3 linked regions of the Drosophila melanogaster genome follow. The protein of the gene in region 1 interacts with the protein of each later gene in a biochemical or structural test. Each region holds a gene or a part of one and is shown on either strand. Other genes may lie near its edges.

Region 1 (5,493 bases):
TCTATCGAGGATGTGTTGGCGTGGTAGACGATCTCAATGGAGTCGTGCGTCACATTAGGAAAACACATTTGGGGTAAGTGTACAAGTGGGAATGGCACTGCTATCAGAGGATTAGGTGGCGAGCAGCAAGTGGGCGGGGCCTTGACTTAGCCACCCGACCTTCTCGTTCCTTCCCCGCCAGCACTTCCACACGCCCGGAGCGGGTGCTGAAGGTGGTGTTGGTGGTGCCTCGAAAGTAGAGCACTCGAGCACAGTAAGCAGGTCACACGAGTGCGGCGTAGCCCCTCTCCAGCACGCAGATTACTTTGCAATGCGCACCTGCAGCAGCAGGCCAGCAATAGCAGCAGTGGGTGGCAGGTGCAGTGGTGGTGGCGCTTTTGAGGCCAAGGTCCAATTCAAAGCGCCCACACACGATCCGCGCTGAGCTTTGACACTTGCCAATCTCGTTTCCTATGTAAATCGAGAGGGGTTCCAAGTGGGGGTGCACAAATAAAAGACGCGGTGGGGCTTTGTTTTTTGCTGCTTTTGCTTTGACATTGTTCTCTCATCTGCATACATGCGGTATATCTATTCGTATATATATATATATATATATAATTGTATATGTTTTGCTTTATATTTATGTTTGCAGTGTATTGGGTGTTGTAGTGTTTTTGTGTTTCTACTTGCTGCTCTATAAAGTACAGTCCGCAAACAGGATACGAATGCGAGAATGTCGGGGTGTGTATAGGTTGGCGTACCTAACGCGTATATCTAGGTGTATATGCTTATATAGCGCTCGGCTTGCTGGCAGCGATATAGTTGGGTCTATGACAGGATCTGGGCTTGGATGCGTAACTTAGGATCGAACGAGGTGTGCCTCCACTGAACTGAATTAATCATAATCGTATTGGGGGTATAAGTATAATCTCTCGACCCAGGTCGGCCTTTAGTAATGATATCGTAGCTTAGCACTAAATCCTATGAGCAATTTCTTACATTTTGAAACGAACTAAACATAAACACGGTCGACAAGTACAAAAATTGAAACTAGCTGGAGGTACACACAATATATAGTATAATAACACACATAATAGATACAGTACAATCTGAATTTGTTGGTTTGTTCAAAGCTTACGGCAAAATCTGCAATTGGCAATCGGCATATTAACTAATAAACTTCCTGAAGCGCAGTCCCGTGCGGGCTAAATATCGGTATTACAATTCACATACGTTAAAAACTCTAATTACTATGGGCTTAAATTAGCTTAGGCTTATTAATATGCTGCGTGTTCTAAACAACTACATTAGTCTGCCTTGATTTGTTGATTGTTTGTATGTTGGTTACTTGCTGGGATGCTGGATTTCCTTCGATTTGTCCGATCGATTAAATGGGTAAGAGAAGGGAGGATAAGTATAGCACGATAGGGAAAGAGGTTGTTAAAAGGTATGCAAAACAGAACAGAACTAACTTTCGAAAATAGATAAAAATATTTTACACTTTTCAATAAATAACCTAATCATAAACTGTAACAAAACAAAAATTGGCAAAATTAGGATCAAGCGTAGAAAGTGAGCGGACTTAGAGCAAAGGGAATTCCCAGAAAGATGTATTGTTATTCGATCCACCGCCCCCCTAGTGCGGATGCATAAGTCCATGAGTGATGTCCATGCCTTCGCCTATTCCGTTCACGCTGATCCCTCCATTTAGCATGCTTGAAGCTATAGAAATTATAATCACATAAGCAATGAGATTATTATATCAAGGATTTGTTCTTACAATTGCGTGATCCTTGCGTGTCCACTTGTGTCCAGTACTGCTCAGATGGACTTTGGGTACTAGTCCCCGGCGGTGCCTGGACCGGGGCCCCCGTGTACCGAAAATACGGATTCTTAAGGTCCAGGGTGTTGCTCGACGAAATCAGCGTGCCTTCGATGTGTAGGTCGATGGTCACGTCATACGACTGCCGCCGATTGGCCTCCAGTAAGACACGGCCGGTCAGCGTCTGGCCCTGCTTAATAAAGATGGGCATGGGCAGAAGGCAGCGAACCTGATACCAATGTGTCAGAGGCGCTGTGGGCGACGTTGAGAGCCACACATTCTGGCTGCTGCCGCTAAACTCCACATCAAACCAAAAGGCCAGCCCATGGCAGATGCCAGTTTGCAGAATGTGAAACTCCAGGGGGATGCCTGCGGAAAGTCAACAGTTGGCCATTGTCGCAAATCACTTTTTCGGGTACTTACTTATCAAATGCAGATCGTCCTCCTTATCGTTGAGAAAGTCGCACACGTGCCGCACCGACTTGGCCATGCATATGCGGATGTCGAAGGTGTCCACAATGGGCTGTCGGAAGTACTCCTTCATGCCCTCTTTGTGCAGCGTGGTAAGGTCAACGCCGTGGAACGCCGACTGGTACCAGAAGTTGGCCTTGTTATATTGTTCCGAGTAGAGCGATTCGTCCGAAAAGGGTGCTATGTGCAAGTCGCCGTGCGTGGGGTACATCTTTCCTTGCGGCTTGAGCCACTTTCTGGCATGCAGATAGGTCTCCAACATGCGCTCGTTGTACAGCATATAGCCCATAGGCTCTGATATGATAACGTCCACTTTCTCGGGCAGCTCGATCTCCTCGATCTTCCCCGGTATCACAGAGATCTTATGCTGCACATTGTTGGACTCAACCAGCTGCTGGGCGTACTGGGCCATGTTGGAAGCCTCAATGGCGTACACTTTGGCAGCTCCCGCCTGCACGGCAAAGAAGGAGAGAATGCCCGAGCCGGCGCCCACATCCAGGACGATCTTGTCCTGAAAATCCACAGCATTGCCTAGAATGGCCCGCTGATACGTGCTTGTCCTTACATAGTCCTGCATCATGTTCTGCTGCTGACTGAGGTAGCCGTAGAACTGGAAGTACTGCGAGGCGGACGACTCCTCAGTGCGCTGCGAGAACACGGACTTGGGTCTCAAGTGCTTCACGTTCTCCACCACTTTGCGGAAGAGCTGCTGGTCCTGCTCGCTGGCAAACCTCAGCACTAGATTGTCGGCGTCCAGGGAAACGGCATAACTCCTTCGTCCCATTTGGGCGGCATCCGTATCGGCGGCTATCATGTACTCCTTGAGCACGTGGCTCCGGTCGTCGTCTGGTGGAGAGATTGGCGATATAAGGAACGGGTTTTATGAAACATTCGATGTCCTCTTTTACCTGACACAACACGGAGGACGACACCCTGGGAATCGTAGCTGCAGAGCAGCGTGCAGCTTCCCTTGTATTTGTTGGTAAACTCTAGCTTCTGCTCGTCGGCAATCGAGCTGATTACCACGCCGCAAAATTGGCAATTGCTCAGCGGCGAAACGGAGGCGGCGGTGGCCAGTTTTCGGGCCTCCTCGGGTCGCAGGCTGGACATGTTGGCTGGCTTTTTGGAGGGTAAAGAGGCAAAGGAACAAAGCAGGACCACAAGCGTCTTTTTTCCCTTGTTAATTGACAATGTAGACCTCGCTATACACACGCACGCACGCACACACACAAACACTCTAGCACACGCACACACACAGATACGCAGATGCAGACAGACAGACGCGCAATTTTTTCTATCTGCAAAATTTTCCACCACACACAAAATGGCTGGTGACTCGGGCAGCTGGATTAATTGGCGCTGGGAACTATATAGTGCGCTGCTTTTCAACTCGGACGATTACTCAAAATCGATCGCTCTTGTTGATTTCGTATTGATTTCACACGGAACATGCGTTCTTTTTTGCAAAAAGTGCTAGAGCTGGAACAAATAGTTGAGGCTAGAGGTGGGACCAAGTCCGATGCTTTTCGATAGGATTATTACCGCGCACTACCTTAAGACTAAGCGATTTTTCAGTCTAGTGAGATTTACAAAAGAATTGTATGCAAGGAAGCTTGCATCAATCTCAATTTCATTTTGAAATATAATTGAAAAAAAATAGTGCGGGGAAAAGAAATGTAAAAAGAAATAATATAGTTTTTTAAGTGGATAGAATCAAGGTTCAGAACTCTGGAACACTTCTAGCAGGGCCTCGAACCTAATGTGGGTGGTCGGCTAGTTGGCAACGCTAGTACAAAAAAGCGGTCGCTTGAAATGGAGAGTAGGTACCTAAATGAGGTACCTTAATAAATATTGACCAAAGTTTAACAGCAATTTTTAGCATTCATTTTAAAATATTTTTCCTATTTGTTTGAATTGAATTAAATCGAATAAACAACGTTAGACAACTTAAGTTCGTTAATTTAAAAGCTATCAATCTGATTTGAAGTAATACCGAACCTAGGTACATAACTGAAGCAAACTTGCCATCACTGACACATCCTTCTAATCAATTTCGCTATTTTTCGGTGGCATTGCAGAAAGGACTCCCATCGCTCCGCGGATGATGACGGAAATGAGGAGGACTTCTACCTCGAGGATGCCGACGACGACGTCGAGCAGGTGAAGCCCACTCTGGCCTCCGAGCCGACTCTGAGTCACCGGGACATGGCGCGTCCGCCGCACGAGGATCCCGAGTACCAGAAGCAGATTGTTGGCAACTTCAAGTGGGTTCTCTTGGTGCACGATATAGATACATTTAATGACATTATCCTTTTTCGATTTTCCAGGCAAGGACGCGGCGGTAGCCACTATAACCATCTAGCGCAGTCGCACGGACGCACCATCAGTGGCAGCAACATCCCGAGCACCCACCAGCAGCAGCTGCAGAACAACAACACCAGCTGCATCCCCACTTCGCACCTAGCCCACCACAACTACACATGCCCGGCGGCGACGGCGACAGTGGGCAGCTACTCCTCCACGGGGACGGGGTCGGTGGCGGCCAGTTCATCAGCCTCGCCGATCGGCAAGCACGCTCGCTCGTCGTCCTCCCGTCCGACCCACTCGGTAGCGCCATATCCATCGCCGACGTACGTCCAGCAACAGCAGCACCACCAACACACGCACCACCACAATTACGCCGGCAGCAGCGGCAGCAGCAACAGCAGCAGCAGCAGCAGTCCAGTGATCCACAGCAATAGCAGTGCCAACAACATGCTGCAGCAGCTGTCGCAGCAGAACGTCACAGTGACGGCGCACCACAGCCAGCAGCAGCAGCAACTGCAGCAGCAGCAACACCACCAGCAGCAGCAGCAACACAGCCACCAACAGCAGCAGCAACATCTCCTGTCCAGTGTGACGATCACGCCCAATTTCCATCCGGCGCAGCAGCAGCACCACCACCAACCGATGCGCGGCCACCAGCAGCAGCATCCACAGACAACTGCCGGCAACATGGTTGCCCAAAACAACAGTAACAACCACAGCAACGGAAGCAATCCGCTGCAGCAGCAACAGCACATGGCGCAACAGGTAGCCGTCAAGCATACGCCCCATTCGCCCGGCAAGAGGACGCGTGGCGAGAACAAAAAGTGCCGCAAGGTGTACGGCATGGAGAAACGCGACCAGTGGTGCACCCAGTGCCGGTGGAAGAAGGCGTGCAGTCGCTTCGGCGACTGAAA
Region 2 (3,693 bases), on another chromosome or scaffold:
AAAAGAAAATCGAGTTGTTTATTGTACTTTGTTTATAATATAATATCTGCAAAAGTGTTTAAAATATTATTTATGCCACATTAGGTTCGTATTTGTTTCGTACATGATCTCCATATAAATTAAATTTTCCATTTGCATCTGGCATGACTGCGAAGCGTGCAAGGGGAAACGAGGGTGTTGCAGAAATTTAATATATCTTTTCGGAATTCAATAGAAGTTGTGCAAAACAGCACATGGAGTTCCTACGATCCTGCGGCCTATTTTTCAGAATATTATGTGTATTATATGTTGACATCGCTCATCATTTACTTTACTATTAGCCACACAATAAGACTTAACTTTACTCGGATTTTTAGGATACAGTCGACTTAAGAGCTATTTAATGCATAACTTTAAATTCTTAATTAAACAAAGAAATCTATGACCTCTTCTGTGATACTATTGCGAATCAGATAAGCCTCCGCGCAAAAGAGAAAACATTTGTTTCGATTTTGTCAATTAACGTTATCTCTTACTGGAGTAATGATTTTTTTTTTTAATATTTTTGGATTCTAAAATTTGTGAGTGCAGTTCGGAAAACGGAGATTAATACATTTGTTACATTTTCAATGTACGATGTCGGTATTGCATAGTTTATAGTGTACTTTCGATTTTCGGTTTATTTCTCATTAAATAATTACAACTTAGGCGCTCCCCTCGATTATGTATCTTTTGTATAATATGAACGAAATACGCGTTGTCAAACGGGCCGTGGATCGCTCGCTTGTTTACTCTGACGTCGATTGATGATGTGTGCCGACAAAACACAAATGTCCCACATCTATGCACTTATCCATCATCCGCTTATGCCGGCAGCTGGAGCTTCTTGCCCTTAAGAACTTTGGTAATGTATAAGTAGAAGAAGTCGCAGTACAAGACGGTCTGGACAACTCCGGCGAAGATCGCGATAAGGTCGTAGTGCGACTCGACCATGTACCGGTAGACCCAGTTGAGCAAGTAGAGTGCACGGTACGATCCCAGGGCGAAGAGGTAGTGGCTGGTGATGGACTCGGCCTCGCCGGTTCTGCTCACTAGGAACAGCTGCGGCAGAATGGCCACCGATTCCAAATAGATCGAGAATGTCCACAGCACTTCCATCACGGTAAACTCATGATTGATCACCAGCGAGAGCAGGGCGCACGGCACCAGCAGGAATTCGATGCGGAACGAATCGTGATTGTGGTCATAGGTGGCCTTAAACTTCACGTACATCAAATACACGGTGGCACCGGACGTGGCCAGGAACAACACCTTCATCACCGAGTTGTACAGGCTCACGTAGGTGGTGAACAGATCCAGGTAGCGCGTCAGATAGACCACGGCGAACAGGATCTGCGACTTGCCCGATATTCCGGCGCACGAGCGGGTCTTCCATATCTTCAGCAGCAGTATTATGATGGCAAACACATGCGACAGATCCCCAGCAAAGCGAAAGATATTCATCGTGATCTAATCCGCCGACTTGGCTACTTGGCTGCCCGGTTGGCTGTTTGATTGTTCTACTTCCTTTCGCTGCGGCTGCGTCACGGAACGCACGCCTATATGAAAATGGGAGTGTATACTATAGCAATAATGGCGGCATTCAGTGTTTCAACAGCTGCATACGTTACCAAAATGACTTTTCGCCTAATTTGCCAACGAGTAGAGATGTGAGGGCTTTGCCGCTTCGGAAAAAAACTTGTCAGAATGTCGGCATAAACAATGACGTGGCTGATGAATAAGAATAAGTTTGATAACATGGCCACTGCCTATCGATATCGATAAGTGCCGCCACATGATTTTTTTAATGAAAATTCGACCATCTCTAACGAAAAAAATTGAGAAAAAACATACTGATTCAAATTTTTTCTTTTTTCGTTTTTTATCATAAGATTTAAAAAAAATTTAATTTTTTTCTCTTCTTTTGCTAGGGATAGTCGAATGTTTGTTTAAAAAATCATGTGGATTATCAATAAAAAATTTATATTCGATAGGCTCGATTGAAAGACACCAGAAAATGCTGACCGCCGCACACGCCACTCGATTTATTCTTCATGCCTATCGAAAAAAGCCGTGGTGAGGTTCCGGCATCTGTATTTTATTTACAAGCGATAGAATTAACATAGAAATCAAATAAAATGGTAAGTAAAAACACTGTTTTAAGCATCTGACTGCAATGGTTAAGTTTTGTTTAGTTGTATTAATTCATAGATTCTTACTTTCGCGGTTGCGATTTCGTATTTACATAGGCATACATACATACAAACATGCATGCGAATAAATAAAACAATTTGTTTTGGCTAATTAACTATTTTATATTTGTTTAAAATTATGATTTTTAGTGATCTTCGATATTACGCTGAGATTTGCTATTTCAAACTCTGTGGTTTATTAAAATTTTTATAAATACCGGCTTTTTTAAAGGGTCGAAATGGTTTACAAAAGATGGCGCGACTTTTATGCATGCTATTGTATTTCACAATTAAATCCTTTGAATTCCTTTATTTCAGACGATCGGCAAGAACAACAAAATGATTCAGCACCTGAATTATCGGGTGCGAATCGTGCTGCAGGACTCGCGTACCTTCATCGGTACCTTCAAAGCCTTCGACAAACACATGAACTTGATCCTCGGCGACTGCGAGGAGTTCCGGAAGATTCGCTCGAAGAATTCCAAGGTGCCCGAGCGCGAGGAGAAGCGCGTGCTGGGCTTTGTATTGCTGCGCGGCGAGAACATAGTTTCACTGACGGTGGAGGGACCACCGCCGCCAGAGGAGGGCCTGCCCCGAGTTCCCATTCCGGGAGCAGCTCCTGGTCCGGGAATCGGTCGCGTGGCCGGACGCGGAATGCCTATCAACTTGTCCGCCGTGCCAGCGGGTCTCCAGGGTCCCGTGAGAGGTGTGGGCGGACCCGCCCAACAGCACATGGCTCCGATGGGACGAGGAGTGCCACGAGCACCGATGATGGGTGCACCGCCACCGGGCATGATTCCCGGCGGCATGCCCTCGATGCCAGGAAACATGGGACGCGGTGCTCCGCCACCGATGCGCGGACCGCCGCCCAGCATGATCCGTGGAGCACCACCACCGGGCAGGGGTGGCTATTAAGTATAAAGTACAATCTAATAAAAACTCATTTAGAAAACACCACTTAATCGATGGATTCGTGTATTTATGTGTTGAATGTAAGCATACGTACATACAATGATTATTGCTTTACATCAATTATATGAGAACCTAAGCAGCAGGGACTGGATTTGGTCGTTGCCAGCCACATCGTTCGTTAATTGGGTGTTCCAGTTAAGACCGAAACGCCTCGTGAATGATTATACCTTTGGTACGTGCGTGTGCGTACAGGATGTTTTATGCCCAGATGTTGGAGAGATCCCAGATCTTGATGAGCCTGTCCTGGCCCACTGTCAACAGGCGCTTTCTGTCCTCGTCCAGGTCCATGTAGACGATCGAATGCTTGGCGTCATTGAATGAAGCCAGCGAGGGGCGCTCGACTGTCTGAAGTTGTTTGTAGCACGGATCACAGGTACGCACATCAAACTCGAAGCCCATTATGGGTATGTTAATGCGATTGGTGGAACAGTTGTCGCACACGGCTTTGCCGCAGTGGCGACAATGATGCTGTCGTATTCCTGACAGTCAGAAATTACTTGTAAAACAAAGA
Region 3 (4,976 bases), 3.7 Mb from region 1:
CCTGCACGTGCTCCAGCTTTTATGCCTGCGATCCTGGCTGACTGAACTTTGCACGTGTGTGTGTGTGCGCGAGTAAATGACCTCATACAATTTGGCAAAGAAAAAAAAGAAGCCGCCAAGCGAGGAGCATGAATTAAATTGAGGTTATGTTCGGGTCTCAAGGTTGTGGCGCCGCATACAATGAACTCCAGCTTGGCCAAAATATCAAATTGCTGCCTTGCAAAAACACTTGAAATAGCGTTAAAAGGTGTAAGTAAATATCAATGTTTGCAGGTGTCCTTTGCCCCATTTTAGCCATAAACATTTGCCGATAAAACAAAAAATGCACAATGAGTTGCGGCAAACCCACACGCACACATATTCGGTTATGAACGCGCCGCTCTTTCGGGTTCTCTCTTTCCCACTCTATTTCTGCTTGCGAACCGCGTGTGTAGGAAGAACAAAGAAAGCTATAGTTGAAGAGCAGCATTTAAACAAAAATGTACAAAAACAAAATTTTTCGTACATTTTTAGGTTATGCACAAGCGATAATAAAAAAAGCCGCTAAAATGGTAAAAAAAAAAATTTAAGAGATAGAGCCCTGCCGCAATAATAAAATATACGCCCATTTAGCATTTTTTATGTTGATTTTTTCCTAGTATGCGCCACCCCTTTGAAAATGGAAAATGCTAGTTTTTCTAGACCGCGCACACGAGGCCGTCGCCGGCTCACCTTTTTTAAGCGATATTTTTCCTCGTTTTTATTTTTCCTTTTTGTAATGCACAGTGTGTATTGCTTTTGGGTTGAAGTTTGCCGAAAAATCGGCACTTTTTGTAGCACTTTTCTTTGTTATCTTCCTGCGGGGGGCGGGGAGAGTTGGATTTCTTAGTGGAGCGCTGAAATTATGCGGTTTTTTTAATTTACAAAACGATAGTCGAAACGTATGAAATGCAGTATAAAATTGCAAGCTGCACACAAAACACACAGCCACACACACCAATGCACTCACTCGCTCACACACACACACTAGTCTAGTTTGTTGCAATTCTTTTTGTCTTTTTTTTTGAGAATAACTAACTTGGCAATTCTTGACGTGTATTTTTTGTTGCTTTCTGATGTTTGGCGATCACAGTTGTTGTTGAATTAAGTTACGATGCATATGTTGTGGCTTTTGAGTAGAAAATAATCGCAAACGCAATGAAATTGGACAAGTGTGTTGAATCGAGAAGAGAACCGACGTTCGTTCCTCTTTTCCTCTTTTTTGCCTCTGCACAGTTTTATTCTTGGTTTCGCGTGTGTTGGTGTGTGAATGATGGCGGCTTTTCCAAGGGTGTGCACACACTTCTTTTTTTGGGGTGGTTAATCTAGTATGTTCCATAGAATATTTTGATGAATTTGATATTTTCATATTTGAGCTCAATTAAGCTCATTTTAGGGGCGCTAAGTTTCTTTTAAATAGTTTTATAAAACTTATTTTCATTTTAGCCATTTCCGATTTTTTGAGTAAGCTCATGAAACACCTTTCTTTAAAGGAAACATTTTATATAGCAAATAAATAAAAACCATAATAACGTTATATTATAACCTGTTGGGAAATCCGAATATGAAAATTGTATAAATTTTTGCAAAAAATAAAAATATTTAATATAAACCAATTAAATGATTTAAAATATTGTTGATGTTTCAGCCTATAAGAAGTTAATATGAAAATTCGATTTTAAACAATTCTTTGTATGTAAATGTTGTTTTCGTTCCCAACACATAGTAAATAATGAACATTGTATTTTTTATATTTATAAAATTATAAATGTTTATGAAATACTTAATATTTATTTAAATATTTAAACCTTTAATACAACTAAAATGAATTTATAAACCAAGTAACTTGTCCATTGTGTAAACTGGGCTTTAAAATATTTGTATAAAATTTTTGGTATTCTTTTCATTTTCTCTTCATAGGTGTGTGTACATTGTATAAATCAAAGCTGCCATACTGCAAGCAGACAAGTCACGCGCCCATTTAGCTCCTTATATAGGCTTATTTGGGGTGGTATCGTACAGAAAATCCCAATTTAATCCTTGGCAAATGTATAGCTAACAATCTCCAGGTAGAGCAAGCAAATACAATACAAATATTTACCAAAATAATACCAAATCGACTTGACTGGGAAAACATCAAGGTGGCAACGCCGCACCCATATACACACGCTGTCGTTTGCATTTATCATTTTCCGGTCGTCATTTCATTCGTACGCGCGACTTTTTGGCGAGTGTGTATAAAAATCTCCGGCTCTGCGTAAAAAACGAATATCGTGCTGCCTAGCCCCCGAAATTAGTAGATCAGTCGAAAACACACAAAATGGCCGAGAACAAGCAAGTGGATACAGAAATAAACGGCGAGGATTTCACCAAGGACGTGACTGCCGACGGTCCGGGATCTGAAAATGGTGATGCGGGCGCCGCCGGCTCGACCAACGGCAGTTCGGACAACCAATCGGCCGCATCCGGCCAGCGGGACGACGACAGGTATGTCCATTATCCGGCGGATACGTTTTTTTTTTGTTCTTTTTTATTTTTGCAACGGGCAACCGATGATCATGTGCCCCCCATAGATTTTCTGCTTCTACATAGTGTATATTGCCTACTCTGTTACGTAAATGCAAAGCTAACGTCGTTGGTCGAGTTTCATTGGATTTTACGGGGTTCTGCGGGGGAAGTCTGACCCCTTTTGTGTTCTCTCTCGCTTGCGCTCGTGCGTCGGAGTGTGTTTAAGTGTGTGTGTGTGAGGTGTCGGTGCGACTGTACTTCAGTCATATTAATAGAATCTTCGGGCCAAAATGCATCATCACAGTCTCGGGAGACATGGAAAATTTTCAACGTTTTCCCCTGCACACACACGCACTTTCCGCAATGAAAACCAGAGTTTTCTTAAGCTAGGAGCACATTTTCTCCCCTTTGTGAGGTTATGTTTGTTTCCCACGTTGCCCCACAGACACACTGTGACGCATACGAACACAAATCATACGGTTGCCTTTCACTTGCAAAAAATGTGGCGAAAAAAAACGTTGGAAAAAGTTATGTTTGTATTTGTCAGTGTATTCTTTTTAATTCGCATTACTCTTTGTTTCGGCTATTTCGTTGTTATTTTGTGCTCTTCCAGTTTTGTACCCAAAATGGCGGCTGCATACAGGCATACATACCAACCTAACGCCCGCTGTTCTGTAGGTGTGTGCGTGTTTTGCAGTTTTCACTTATTCTCTTGCTTGCCGGCTTCGCTCGCTCGCCACCTCTTTTGCGCGCTCTTACTCTCAGAGAGCGACAGCCGGCGTTGTTTGGAGTTGCCAAGGCGCCAAAATATTAATTTAACGAACAATTAATGTAAATTATAAATGATAAATAATTTTGATGGATTAAAGCATAGAGATAATGATGATCAAGTAGAATGGTCCTCTTGTTTGCTCCCCTGCGTTTTGGTTTTTAGGTCTAGCGTACACTTCATTTGCCCATCCTTTATGATCATTTTATATCTAAGTTTAATCTTAAGTCACACGATACTGTACATTTAAACGATAATACGAAACCAGCGCTGACGAAGCAGATGCAGATTATTCCCCGTAAAGGAAGAAGGACGAAATGGAGAAATTAAATCGAAAATCATAGCTTATCCTGTTGTCTTGTGAGCGAACTAACCTTGTTCCTCTCCGGCAGGTTTTGAGAGAAGTGAAATGCCCCAGGTCAGGGTTTTAAGCTATGCTCAAGACGGATATGGATTCGGATATGGATTTGGATTCGTATTCCTGCCCCCGGCAAACGGTTACGGATTCGGATTCGGATTCGGCGGACTTATACTTGGAGGATATGCAACCCTCTCCACACTCCAGTCTCCAAAAGTCTCCGCTCCGCCGATACTGATGCTGATGGTATTTATCTATCCAAAACTAAAACAAACAAACAATCAGTCAGTCAGCCAATATATAGAACTATCAACACACAAAATTATCAAGAAATAATCTCGATTTAAAATTGGATCCATATGTAAACTGTATACGAGTATATATTGTATTGTATCTCTTAACGTATAACTTGTAAATTACCTAAAAAAAAAAGAAAAACAAAAAAGTACCAAGTAATCGGAGACAGAGAGAGACCGAGTGAAAAAGAGACTCGCAGTTTTTTCGTTTTGTTTTATGAAGCTCAAAAACTATACATTATATATCGCCCGAAGAAAGAAACACAATGAACGAATGTAACGTAACGAATTGCCACAAAAAAGAAGCACAAATCACTAAATTGCAATCGAAATTCCGCCGCCGTGTGATGAGACTGTTCCAAATTTGCCGGGAATCCGCCGAGAACGATGAGATATCTTTCCAAAAAGTCCAGAAATCAATGAGTAACGTACACATCATAGTAAACTATAAGTGTCTGCATATTTTTTCAACATTCCTTTTTATAAAAAAAAAAAAATATAAAATAAAATAAACAGCCAAATAAAGAAAGTAAAACTAACCACAATCCAGCATAAAAACCTTTGCATTCTTTTCTCTCATCCTATTGAATAAAGACTAATTGTTAATTGTTATTTGTACAGACAAAGACTCTTAAGCATACCCAAAACAAAAACTTAATAATTCACTCTTGCATATCTTATATATACTATATATCTATATCTTTCGCTCGTTTTGTGTCTCTCGATCGATCGCTCGCTCGCTCCTCGAACTCTTTCGCTCATTCCGAGTTTGCAAGTATTTTGACACTATCCGATCAATTCTTTGATTGCAATACAGTAACTAAAGCAATTTTTCACTTCAAATTTGGTGAGTTTTTTTTATTCGTTTTGTATTCTTGCCCAGTCATCAAATTCTTTTGCAGCCAATACGAAAATCAGTAAGAGAAGAAAAAATTTAAAGTAAATTAAGAAAGTATTTGCCTCGCGCATCAAACACAACCTATTTTTCGTGCCTGATTTTCCCAGATAAACCTTTTCCTACCAAAAT

Evidence for each region. Proteins that work in one complex are often made in the same cells at the same time.
Region 2: of the proteins of Art4 (region 1) and SmB, one has a biochemical effect on the other in vitro, tested with the Drosophila melanogaster proteins (one study listed by BioGRID).
Region 3: of the proteins of Art4 (region 1) and sqd, one has a biochemical effect on the other in vitro, tested with the Drosophila melanogaster proteins (one study listed by BioGRID).

The regions. Positions count from the first base shown.
Region 1 is NT_033777.3:9,982,298-9,987,790, forward strand, and holds Art4 (arginine methyltransferase 4), read right to left. Parts: upstream 3,764-5,493; 5' UTR 3,383-3,763; coding exon 3,181-3,382; intron 3,119-3,180; coding exon 2,225-3,118; intron 2,171-2,224; coding exon 1,760-2,170; intron 1,702-1,759; coding exon 1,616-1,701; 3' UTR 519-1,615; downstream 1-518. Other genes in the region: Glut4EF (glucose transporter 4 enhancer factor), read left to right, coding at 1-73, 4,351-4,536, 4,600-5,491. UniProt on the Drosophila melanogaster protein: Methylates (mono- and asymmetric dimethylation) the guanidino nitrogens of arginyl residues in proteins. May methylate histone H3 at 'Arg-17' and activate transcription via chromatin remodeling. Coordinates ecdysone-mediated expression of cell death genes.
Region 2 is NT_033779.5:10,424,960-10,428,652, reverse strand, and holds SmB (small ribonucleoprotein particle protein SmB), read left to right. Parts: upstream 1-2,025; 5' UTR 2,026-2,156; coding exon 2,157-2,159; intron 2,160-2,528; coding exon 2,529-3,125; 3' UTR 3,126-3,170; downstream 3,171-3,693. Other genes in the region: KdelR (KDEL receptor), read right to left, coding at 844-1,482; Wdfy2 (WD repeat and FYVE domain containing 2), read right to left, coding at 3,381-3,661. UniProt on the Drosophila melanogaster protein: Plays a role in pre-mRNA splicing as a core component of the spliceosomal U1, U2, U4 and U5 small nuclear ribonucleoproteins (snRNPs), the building blocks of the spliceosome. Involved in germline establishment and development.
Region 3 is NT_033777.3:13,643,282-13,648,257, reverse strand, and holds the start of sqd (squid), read left to right. Parts: upstream 1-1,953; 5' UTR 1,954-2,338; coding exon 2,339-2,505; intron 2,506-3,687; exon of another isoform or gene 3,688-3,899; intron 3,900-4,976. UniProt on the Drosophila melanogaster protein: Component of ribonucleosomes. Could be needed to organize a concentration gradient of a dorsalizing morphogen (Dm) originating in the germinal vesicle. At least one of the isoforms is essential in somatic tissues.